2 linked regions of the Caenorhabditis elegans genome follow. The protein of the gene in region 2 interacts with the protein of the main gene of each other region in a pairwise test. Each region holds a gene or a part of one and is shown on either strand. Other genes may lie near its edges.

Evidence for each region. Proteins that work in one complex are often made in the same cells at the same time.
Region 1: the proteins of srgp-1 (region 2) and nhr-31 interact in a two-hybrid assay, tested with the Caenorhabditis elegans proteins (one large-scale study listed by BioGRID).

What each region holds. Positions count from the first base shown.
Region 1 is NC_003282.8:8,023,470-8,031,302, forward strand, and holds the start of nhr-31 (Nuclear hormone receptor family member nhr-31), read right to left. Parts: upstream 6,045-7,833; 5' UTR 5,954-6,044; coding exon 5,847-5,953; intron 5,189-5,846; exon of another isoform or gene 5,042-5,188; intron 2,569-5,041; coding exon 2,291-2,568; intron 2,208-2,290; coding exon 2,053-2,207; intron 1,777-2,052; coding exon 1,295-1,776; intron 1,195-1,294; coding exon 921-1,194; intron 876-920; coding exon 702-875; intron 502-701; coding exon 352-501; intron 1-351. UniProt on the Caenorhabditis elegans protein: Orphan nuclear receptor.
Region 2 is NC_003282.8:11,568,902-11,573,542, reverse strand, and holds the start of srgp-1 (Rho-GAP domain-containing protein), read right to left. Parts: upstream 3,044-4,641; 5' UTR 3,001-3,043; coding exon 2,832-3,000; intron 1,877-2,831; exon of another isoform or gene 1,574-1,876; coding exon of another isoform or gene 1,513-1,573; intron 1,016-1,512; exon of another isoform or gene 807-1,015; intron 1-806.

The DNA.
Region 1 (7,833 bases), 3.5 Mb from region 2:
GAAAAACGCAAAAAAGCCCACATATGGAAGGAGTTTCTTGGGCTCGACCACTTTAGTCTTAACTTGAAACGGTGTTAATAATAGAAATAGAAATTCCCAAGAAAAAAATGTTAAGAGACTTGGAGCGAGTTAGCAAAAATAGGTACCGATTTGTATAAAAGAAAAATCGATAATAGTCACAGCCTCTATCTGAGCTTTTTTGAACGTTTTTCAAACTTCTTGTATATTCTTAAGAATATGTTTGTGTAAAACGCATTGAAGCTAGTTCCCTCAATTTAGAATCTTTACTATCCAAGAAAGTTTCAACATATTTTCCCTCAAATTCCATAAATATTTTCAAACTTCTCTCACCATTGGAGGAGAGTATCCAGCATTAAGCATGGAGCTACATGAATTTGAATGTGGAAGATATGGTCCAGATGATAACAAATCATCATTTGTCTGTGTTGCCACATCTACCCTTCTCACGAATCTTCGATCAGACATTGGCGGTGAGATACTCTGCAAACAAACAAGAAATTAGATTTTTGCACACTCTTATCATTGCCATTTATCAGTTGGTAGTTGGCAAATTTCAACTTTCAATTCTCCGAGAAACTCCGAAATTTTATAGTTTTAATGAGTTTATAGTTTTAATGACAATTAAAAGAAAAAGATAATGATATAAAGTTTGATCTTTCAGTCATTTTTAGTGAACTGACCTCTAAACAAATTTCAGCTGGATTCTCGAATAGTGGTGGGCTAATGCTGCTGCTGATAAGTTGATCATCAAATGTTCTATCTCCAAACATTTCAGCTAACAAGTTATCTCCACTTGCACGTCCTCCAAGAGCTTGACAGAAATGCATGTTTTCAGACATCAATCCGGAAAGAGTCTGAAATGTTTTGAAATAGAGAATGCAACAGTAATGACGACTAACAGTAATTGTTGGCAGAAGAAGCAACAAGTTTCCAAATCGGCTGCTTGCAGAATAGATTGGATGAAGCTCCTTGACAATTTGGAAAAGCATATCTTGAACTTTATCTCTCAACTCAGAAATCGCGTGCCTCGCATGCTCGGATAGTCCTTTTGCATTTGGATTTAAAATAATAATTGCTTTTAATGGAACAATTTCTTCTTCTTTCAGATTTAATTTTCTCAATGGAGCCACCAATTCATTTAACGTTCGATCAATCAGGAAGTTTGAGAGATGACTGAATAAATCAAATTAATTTTCTTTAATTTTAAATAGTATTTTTCATATATTTTTATTGCGTTGATAAAAATTGGAATTAAATTAAAATTCCAACTTACTTTGTCTCATTAAACTCTGGAGGCAATCTTCTTGGAACAAATGAATGACTGCAAAGACACAAAATATCCGGATTCTTCGTATTCTGAGCAGTTCTCGCAGAGAAATTGAAAATAGTTAACGGCGAGTAACAACTTTTAACCAATGCAACTTTATCTTCAGTATCAACTGCATCCGCAATTTCAGTTAATGAATCAACCCAATCAACAGCTGCAATTGCTCTTCTATGAGCAATTACTCCAAGTTCTTCAGTTCTTGCCATTCGAAATGGTTCATAACCAATTTCCATCCGTCGACCATCTAATGCAGGTTTTGATTCAAACATTTCCCGTAATGAAATACTTTTTGGATCTTTTGCAGTGTTTTGTGCACTCATATTATTATCTCCTTTTACTACTTTATCCTCAATACTCATCAATTGCATTAATAAAATTCGAGTCTCGACAGGAAGTTTTCGTGACCAATCATCTCCTTGTAACCGCATCTGAAAATTTCAAGTATTAATTTATACATCATTCATGTATAGTGTAAGTTATTCTGGATTTTATCAACAACACAAACTAAATTTTAACTGTTTGAATATGCATAAACATTTTTCACTCGATTATTCCAGAACAAATAGAAAACATCACAAAAAACACTCAAATCATTTTGAGATTTTCCATAATTTTATGTCAAGTTTTTGTGAATTGTCAAATTTTTGGAAATTTTAAATTTGCCACCAGTTTTTTTTCAGTGTATCTACATTTTCAAAACATACCATATGATTTAAAAGCTCCTCATCAATTTGCTTCTTCTTAATTCTTGGAACTTTCTGTTTTCCTGTCTGATCCCTATCCGGCCTGACTGCTTTTGGATCCATTCCTGCTTGAATACAACGTTGAAATCTGCAGTATCGGCAACTATTTCGCTGGACTGAAAACCGAAACTTCAGGTATTTTCTTGATTATAAAGATACTCAGTCAAGTATATTCGAATTTATTCTTTAAAAAACTTACATTTATCAACAATACAATTATTTGAGAATCTGCATGCATATCGATATTTTCCAGTCAGTGTTCTTCTAAAGAATCCTTTACATCCATAACATGCAAGTACTCCATAATGTAATTTTGCAATTCCGTCACCACAAACAGCACAAACTGAATCTCCATTCTGTGATCCACCACTAGAAACTGTGGGTTGCTTGTCACTGGGCCTGATGATATATGACGTGGCGGGACCACTTGATGACGTGGCACCGCTTGTCCTTAAATCTCCTCGCATCATTGGAACTCTGGAAATTTTAAAGTTAAAAGATCGGGAAAATTAGTTTCAAACACAAAAATAATAAAATTTAAAAACTAGAGTGTGTCCTTGAAATTTTGATTTCTTGATCTTCCCACAATAATTTGTGTCTTGGAAAATACAACGTTTTTTGGTGAAGACGGAATTACATTTTTCAAGTGATTAAACTTTCAAAAGAGTATTATATTTGATACGGTTTTTTCAGTTTCAAAATTGCAAAATTTTGTGTGTGGAAGCGGAATTGAAAGTCGATAGGCACTTTTTTGTTATTGTAAAAATTCATTGCTTAATCGGAGCTAAATGTGCAAAGTTTTCTAGCCAAAAGGCATTTAAGAATCCAATTAAAAAATCATTGGAACAGTGACCAATTCCATTGATGATAAAAAAAATTCATAATTTCAATTTGTTGCAAACTATCAAAGTTCACACATCAAAAAGACCAAAAAGTTCCACGTGGAAAAACTGACGTATTTGGGGGAATACCTATGGGGCGGTGTCTCTCTATGATAATATTACAAAATGGGGGAAATTAAGTGGGAGTGACATTGAAATAAAAGGAGATGAAGGAGGAGAAGACGACGACGATTTACTGATAACAAGGCGAAAGAGACACTGATTTGAAATAAAGAAGAAGAAGAATACAAAACAGAAGACGCTTGAGAGGATGAAGAGAAAATGAAAACATAAAGATTAGATGTCACTAAGGTTTTGAACAAATAGTAAATAATTTGTTTAAAACATTTTAACACCTGTAACTTTATTTTAGAACAGTATTTAAGCTTGTTTTTCACATCAATTACTTGTTTTTTAAATCAATTACACCAGTACAAAATAATTTTTTGTTGATAAACTACTTGTATATTTGAAAAAATGCACTCCCAAAAACATTATTTTCTCAATTAATCTTGCTCAACTTTGGCACCTGATATCTTGGCTATTTTCGATTGAATCAATTTAAAATCAACTGGCAGCAGATGTATTATTAATTTTTCTATAGTTTCAAAGCTTAACTTTTTTTTTGTTGAAACGAACGGAGGTATATACTTTCACAGTAAAATAGTCCGAGTTTTTGAAGTTTCATAAGCGTTTTTGAAGAATTATCATGCCAGATTTCGAACAGTTCCTAGTTAGGAACTATACTGACCAAAAGAGACTGTCGAGAAAATAAGAACCAAAGGAAGAGAGATAGTAATGGAAAAAAGAGAATCGAAGAAAAGAAACGAGAGAAAAATATGAGGTGGTTCGTGTCCGAAATCTCGACCTCCGAACAAGGCAAGTAAACAGGCGCGAACCTTTCCTCAAAGCACGCACACAATGATGATTTCCGCTTCGTTTATCCGCACAGAATTTTTTTTCTTCATTTTACAAGAATTTATTACCTATCAATCTTATAACCCTTGTCCCCCTGTAGGCTTGCCAGACTTGCCAATCACTTTCTAGGTCATTCTACTAGAGGAGGGAAAGGTGATAAAGATACATGAAACACAGACGAGAAACGGATGATGTCAGTAATAAATTAGAGATAGCTTTTAGCATAGGATGCCTATATTCTCCAATCAAACACTTAAATCTTCTTTCTGTTTATCCTTAATTCTAAATTAAAAATCAACGATTCGAATCAGTAAATGTATGATGTCATATTTATATCAAGACGTGCAGACTAATTGGGCTAATTGGATGTATTGCCTTTTTGTAAAGATATATTAGAAGATCAAATGATAGAGCCTCTGACTACAAGGATCCAAAATGTCACCAAAATAAATAAAATCGTAATGCTTTTTGTCTATCGAATTTTTTTACGGGTCTCATAAAATTGGAGGAGGCATTTGGAGATAAGATAACTTGTATCAATTGTTGTTTACAGCTGAATAAGGAAAAGGTTATTGGATAGGATAGGGGAAGTTAACATATACTAGTTTATCTATAAGTAGATGCTGAATTGTGATCTAGAATCAAAGCTGGATTATATTTTAAAATACTTTAATTATCCTGTTTAAGCTTTGCACACGAACAAACTACTAACTAGAGATTTTTTCAAATTCAAATATTTTATACTAAAAGTAAAAACCCGCAAAAATTATTTTTCGAATCGAGTAGAGAATACTTTTAGCTATTAACCTTGTGGAGTGAATACTAAACTGTCTTTCTGAAAACTTCTAAGAATATAATCAAAATTGAATCTCAAAAGAAACTTCTCACTAAATTAAGTGATCTTCTTCAACCGAAGAACACATCTGACTCATATGAACCGATGCAGTTCGTCTCGGTTTCTTGTAGCAAATTCCTTTTATCAATCACAATCATATCTTTCTTCATTCATTCAAATTGATCGATTACCGTCCTTGAACCCTTTTATTTTACTTTTTCTCAATTTCCATGTAAACCATTCCTCAAGTAGCATTCAAATCACAAAGATCATTCACCTATCCCTTTTTATCGCAATTTGATCATTCTTCGCGCGCATCTTGTCACGTGCCTCTTCACTCATTTCCACGCCAAATTTCAAAGTTTCCACGTGGCAGGGTTACTACTAAAGTGGCAAGACAGTAGTATTTACGATCGACGCGCTTTTACAAAGTATGTGTGAGATGGTGGTGATCAGAGGTAGTAGTGCCATTGATAAAATTGCAAATTATTATCACAAAAATGGTTGTTGCGTCGTGGCGGGGCAAGAATAAGATAACAAAGGGGAGACTCTGTCCTATACAAAAGGGAATTAGAATTAAAATGCAAATAGAACACGTACTTGCAGCTTCTTGAAAACTATCTAATGGCTCTAATGAGTTGAGATAATTGCTCAAAAGTTCATTTAAATCATTGTCAATTGATCTGAAAACGTCAGAAGATCAGCGATTGATTGCCAAAATGTCGTAATTTCTTTGAAACTATCAAATGCTTTGATATCAGAATAGATGTAAAAGTTTAAGGCCTGAAGGGATTTTGTATCACATTGACTTTGAATAAATTTAGATTTAGCATTAAATGGGGTTTCAAGTAAATCTTTTCTTTTCAATTTTCAATGTTTTTATCAAAGAGCCACTAGAGCTATATATTTGAGATAAAATTTTTTGGCGGCTTCGGTAAACAAAATTTTTTGAAAATTATTTATCTCACAAGTTCAAAAAATTAAAGAAAAAACTATGAAATGATCTCCAACTGATCAATTGAGCAAATAAATCTTAATAATTTGATATTAATTCTCAAAAAAGTTAGGGTTATGATGCAAGTTCAAATGCACAGAAAAGTTATAATAATCGATTTACTAACCTTTCAACTTTCACAACTCTTGTACCAGGTCTTATTGCATAAGTTGGTTCTTCTTCAAGATATTCATCACCCCAATACTCCCAATCTTCGACATCAAGTTGTTCCATTTTAACAGATGGTGCTGCAAACGGCAGCGTCGATATGGGAAAAATTTTGAATTAATTGAAATTAAAATTCGTGTTCTTCTATTTGTTGTTGCTGGAAAAAAGTATATATAAATGTATACATATTAAAGCAACGGATTTCAGAAAAATAAACGGTGAAAATGAAAGAAAAAGGGACGGTAATTGTGGTCGGAAGGTGGACAGGAGGATAGACGGACGGACAGGATGGATAGACGGTCAGGCGGATTATTAAACGGGTTTAGGTTTCATTTGTATATATAAATATATGAATGTGTTTAGATGAAAATATATATGAAAACGGAAAGAAATTAAACGGTCAATGTATTGAGGTGTCGGGTTATCACATCTTTTAATGAGATTTTGAACGTAATTTCTCTGTAATTAAGAAAATTCAATTTTAAATAAAATTATCTCCAGAAATAGAAAATTACTTATTTGACTAGATTCTACATAGTTTGTTTTAAAACCTTTCTTTAATAATAAAATATTATTTACATCCCGTAATTTATATATGGATTCCTTTTACCTTTCTCTAAGTGAATTAAAGTTAAGAAAAAAAATCGAACGGTCAGTTTAATGTGTACTACCTCTTGTACGTCCAAGTGGATCATTTCAAAAACATTGTTAAGTTCTAATCAAATATTGATAAAGTTAGGTAACGACTCAACCAGTCGCACTTTTCTTATTTTTATTTGATTTATTGGAGAAAGAAACGAGAGTAGGTTTCCATTTATTATCTATTTCTCGTTTTTCTAAATTAATATTTTCATTTTAGAATTTAAGAATTAGCTTCTGATAATAGTTCATGTCCCCCTTACAAATCAGAGTCTAACGTGGCAGCAGCCAAAAATTTGTGATTGATGATAACGAGTGACGGTGGCGGAGAAGGACGCAAAAAAAGTTTGCCAAGCCAATTCAGCAAGCTGGCACACCACCGATTATTGTTCTGATAACTGAAAAAAACCACGTGTGAAGAAGAGGAGCTGCCAAGAGATTAAGGATTGTTTAGTGGACATTTTAAATTTAGAAATCCTTTTTTGAAATTTGGAAAAATATGAATAAATGAAGCTTGAAGATTCAACAAAATTTATGTTATCAATAACCAAACATTGTTATGTTTTCTTCAAATGTTCTAAACTTTTGGTAATTCTCGGAGTTGGACCAATTCAAACAATATACAATTCAAAACTATTTTGGAACCATCCAGAATACTATGGAATTAACATGAAATAGAAACATAAACGTGTAAGTTATGTAAATGAAAATATGGAATAACCGAAACTTGTTAAAAATGCAAAATGACGGAGCGGATTGGTGAAAAGAAATACGGAGAGGATTATGAAAATGTATATGGCTACTAGATTATACAGTACTTTGAACTATTCGTAGATCATTTCAGCTCTATGACGACCACAACGATTGTCCGATTGTTCTTTTCAGATTTTTGAACTTTTAAGCGAAAAAAATTGAATTTTAAAAGTTATAATGTAAAGAATACACATTAATATGAGTCGAACTCTTGGAGATTATAGAAAATATTTAAAATTCTTAATAAAAGTTGAATAGACTTTCTGACTTTACTTGATTTAATCAAACTGTTCTTCGATAATAAATTGGCACAAACTGATAATAACCTGCCAATAAATCATATATTTGTGTTTCGACTTTTACTAAAGATTCTGCAACATTGAGACGTGAGATGGGAAATCCCAAGTTGATGGTTTCAAATAGAAAAGGAAAAGAAAAAAGAAACAAATAAAATATGATGGTTCTGGTGACTGTGTGTGTTCCGCCTGAATAGTAACGTAACAACGACGGGATTTTGGGCGATAGGGGGACACATCAAGGGACACCAACAGTAA
Region 2 (4,641 bases):
GCCTTGGAGACATACGGACACATTTGGCGGTCTTCTGTGTAGAGAGTGGTGATGCCGCCACCATATTGCTCATCAGCCTAAATGACACAACCAGTGCGTGTGCATTTGTGTGTATGAAGCTACTCTGAGATGAGAGCAATTCAATATCATATTCCCATTCTATTTGGTAGTCCTCCTGCGCGAAGACAACAGTAGTCGTGGGAAATCTATGAGAGAAAGGCGAGGATACTACCTACCTAATTATGTAGTCATAGTCATCGAATTGAATTACACAGCCATTGAAATGTGCCAAGTTGAAGTAGGAATTTAAATCAAGAATTCAATGTGGGAGTTTTGAGATTTTGGCGGAAAATATAGCAGAATAAAATCTACGTCAAGTAATTCTACAGATGGATGAAGAAAAAATTAGTGAAACTAAACTTTGATATTGACAACTATTTTATTCTCTGAATTCTATAAGTCTACACATTGTAGAAATTGAGGACGTAATCCGGCCCAATCTGAATGTTAAGAAATCAATCATTGATAGTGGGTGAGAGAGTCAGAAAGCAGTACAAAGCATATCGTGTATTCTAGTCTACTCGACTAATAGACCGTAGAAATTGGTACATTGAATTGATGGCTATATCTACGATATTTTTGTGGTAAAGGTTTTATGGTGAAACTGCTCAAAATAACGAAAATTGGAAGAAAAAACTAAGAAAGAATGATATAAAGAAGCAACATGTGGTGTCGACCACATGGAATCCGAATTGCAGGTGTGACATACACACATACTTAGAGAACAAAACGAGAGAAAAGGAGCCGATAGATAGATGGACAGATCCCTCTGAAGATGAGTCCATGAGCAAACCCAGAGTGGACGGGACAACGAAGACGGGACAACGAAATTGACGGATCAATTTTGAGGATGATTTATGAAATGGGTGGCCGTGGCTGCAGAAAGAGCTCTGAAGTGCACGGAAGGAGGCATTACTATTGTCTGGGACGCCAGGTCGATTCGAATCGAACAAAGATACGATATGAAGACAAAAACTAGGGAGTGAAGAAAGTATTAGCATTCTTGGGTTGGTAGAAGAAACAATTAAACGTCGAGGACGAGAAGGACGGAAGTCAAGGTGCGGAAAGTAGGAAAAAAGGATCATGAAATAGTATCGGAAAGAATGAAAAAGTAGTAGGAATTGAATGTTGACAAGAGATTCCTTCCACTGTTTATAACATTGTGAGTCATTATTGTCACAGGAATTGGGCCTATCCCACTATCACACGAATTTGATCGAAAAGGAGATAAGATTTGGAGAAAAATAGAACATCGAATTCATGATTCTGAAAGCGTTTTCACATCACATGGTTTTCTGAGTGATTTTTTTTTGTCGTTTTGAAATTATTTGCATAAGAAACTACAGTGGTGAATTTCATGTTTCGTTAAATTCAAAACATATAAACAAAATATTTGTTATCTTGGAAAATTCATACTTTATTCAAGTAGGGCCTTCTACAATTCTAACTAACCTTGGAAATCATACTGATCGTCGACACCAATCGATGCACATAGTGGTAGTCGAATACTCATGTTCGCATGACGTTTAGATCAAAACGAACACCAGTGTGGGAAAATAAGATGGGAAGAGACAGAAGACTAAATGACTTTCGTTCTCTAAGAGATTCTCTCGAGAGAAGACAGAGAGACAACTGCCTTCTCATGGCTCCCGGGTGGGGCGATGATGATCCGTTTCCATCGCATGCCCTTTCATCTTCTGCGTCTTCGTCTTTCTTTTCTAAGTTCCATAGAGAAGAAGAATGATTCCAAAACAACTTTACACACTTACGACACAGGTATAAGGGGAGAACAAGGTTGGCGGCGGCAGTGGCTTCGAATTATTCACTACTCCCCCCGTACTGATGCCCTATCACATTTCTATTATTCCGCAAGTTCCCCTCTAGTATAACTATTCATTACTTTGGTTCAAGTGACAAGTGACTTCCCGCAGTTTCCAACACACAATCGCAATAAATTGTCAATGCGTTGATGTCGCCCGACGATGGCGATGGGGTGCGAAATGAAAATGTTTCTTTTCTTTTTTCCCGCACCGCCCGTGTGTTCTTTCTCTCTCTGACTGTGTACCGACTTCTTTCCGCTGATGATTGTTTAGATAATAGGGTGAAAAGGCGCGAAAAATGGATGAAAATGATAGTGTTCTATACTTAAAATCGCAATTAAAATGTTTGATTATGATGAACAACACTAGGAACATTGAACAAGTTTTTTCCTCACAATGTGGCACGTAATATATGTTTATATCTCTACTTACCCCCAATTCGTGATGGGATCAACATAAACTAGTTGGAGAGGGTGTGAGCGGAAAGAAAAAACAACGAAATGAATTCAATGTAAACTTGGAGGGAAGATCAAGATGACAAATACTTTTAATAAACTTTGAAGCTTAATATATCGAACTATTTTTTAGTTTTTCAGTTTTGATACTCAAACGCGAAATTTTGCGCCAAAAATATGGCTCCCGGTCTCGACACGATAAATTTTGGTTGAATTTTCGAAAAAGTGTGCTTTAAAAACTACTGTATTCTCAAACTCAAATAAAATCCATAAATTTTTAACAAATTGTTAGAAAAACTTAGAGAATTAATTAAATTTCCTCTTCGTATTTTTCAAAAAAAAATTGTCGTGTTGAGACCCGTTACCGTATTTTGGCTCGAAAATCACAAAGTTTTGTGTCTGGGTAATACGGAAGGTTTTTTAATTTTTTTTGTTGCAAAATTCTCGAAGTTACCAAAAGAAAAGATTACGATTCCAACATTTCAAAAAATCTCACCTTTAGCAGCACACTCCAAATCGTGTACAATCGCCTTTTCTTGTTTGTGCTGTGAATGTTTTCTCACGTCCTGTGAGCATCTTCTGTCTGCTGATGTTGATGAAGTTAACGTCATCGAAGTTTCCTCGTGCTGGCCACCGGCCCCACCTTCAGACGAAGACGTCGTCATGTTTGGGGTCGGCACGGGTGAAGCAAGTGGTTTGGGTGAAATTCTGGAAAAGAAAATTATAAATTGAATGAATGATATCGGGTTGAAGGGGAAAGTATGGAAGAAACACGGATTGTTTGAAAAAAACAAAGGATAGGCAAGGAGAAAAGGAGGACAATTTATAGAATTTGTTTGATTGATTTATAAGAGTTGAGTGGCTAGAGTTAGTTTGAGAAAGCACAAAAAAAGAGATGGGCAAGCAAAAAGCGCAAGGAGCGGGACGAAAAAAGTAACTAGCTTGGCAGATGGTAAAGCCCGCGTTTGCCCCCTTACTGCTACTTCACATAAATCAACGTGTGGCTGGCGAAAAATAGAAAAAAAAAGTGAACAAGGGTTTGGTGGACGTAGCTTTCAGAAAAACAGTGGAAAGAAACACCGAGGACGGCATGTAACAATACGGTTTCAGGACAAGAGGAACGACAGAAAAATAATAGGAATTGCAAAAAGAGAATAGACATCAACATAAAGTGAAGCAGATGGACTGAATTAAGCATATGTATTTGATTTCGTTTTTGCTAAAGTCATCGTCTTTTTTTTTTGAAAACAAAGCCACTAGGGCGCAAACAATTAATATTTTACATACATATTTGAGGGGCTCCCGTAGATGCATAGTTACCTGAAATAATTTTTTAACAAAAAAGTATAAATATGAATTGATATTTATAACAAGCTTAAAAATATCAAGTTAGAAGTAAACCGACATTCGTTGCTCTTCTTTTCTTCAAGAAAAGTAATTCCTCAATAGAAGATTAACTATGGATTAAATATTGACCCTTTCAATAGAAACGAATCTATTTTCGAGAAGAAGAAGAAGAAAACATAAATGGAACGGACAAATGTTTATTCATCCGAGATTATGTAAAAGTATTACTATGAGGCAACAGGAGAGGGGAAGACCAGGACAATGTTATCTTTATTGTCCATCAACATCATATTCCTCTTCCACGACAACATTCAATCGGCACCTAACATATACCTGATGAATGAGAAATGAAGAAAAACATCCCAAATAACGGATATTGGTTTTGGAGCTGACTGGCAAAAGGATGCCATCAATCTTGACTCGGTCTCTAAAGCCTTTCGGCTATTCCAAAAAATTCATGCTTTTTTTTGGAAGACGAAGCAGGAAAGGAACGATTGAAAGTGAAAAACGCCTTGGGCTTCTTGAAAAAGAGAGGAAAACTTTTATTTTAGTTTTCTCTTTCCGACAAACAAGGGCGCTGCCGGACACTGCCGGACACAAGAGACAAGAATAACTTTTTTCTGACAACATAAAGAAATGAATAGCGCACTGGGAATATTTTTTATATAAAAATTTTAGAATTAATAAGCTCAGAATGGATTATATAGTCTCATGAGTACATAAATATTTAAAATTAAAGAAAGTGTATTCCAATGAAGAAGGAATAAGAATGTTATGTAATGATGACGTTCATCGGTCTCATTGTCTCGTCCACTTGGGAAGAACAAGGTTCCAATTGGCACCTTCTCGTAGTGGCCGTCGTAATATCCCTACACTAATCCTCCTTACACGGCTAATGTACTCTTATGGGAAACGAAAAGAACATGAAAAATGCGAGATAGGCAATACAGTACAGTCTA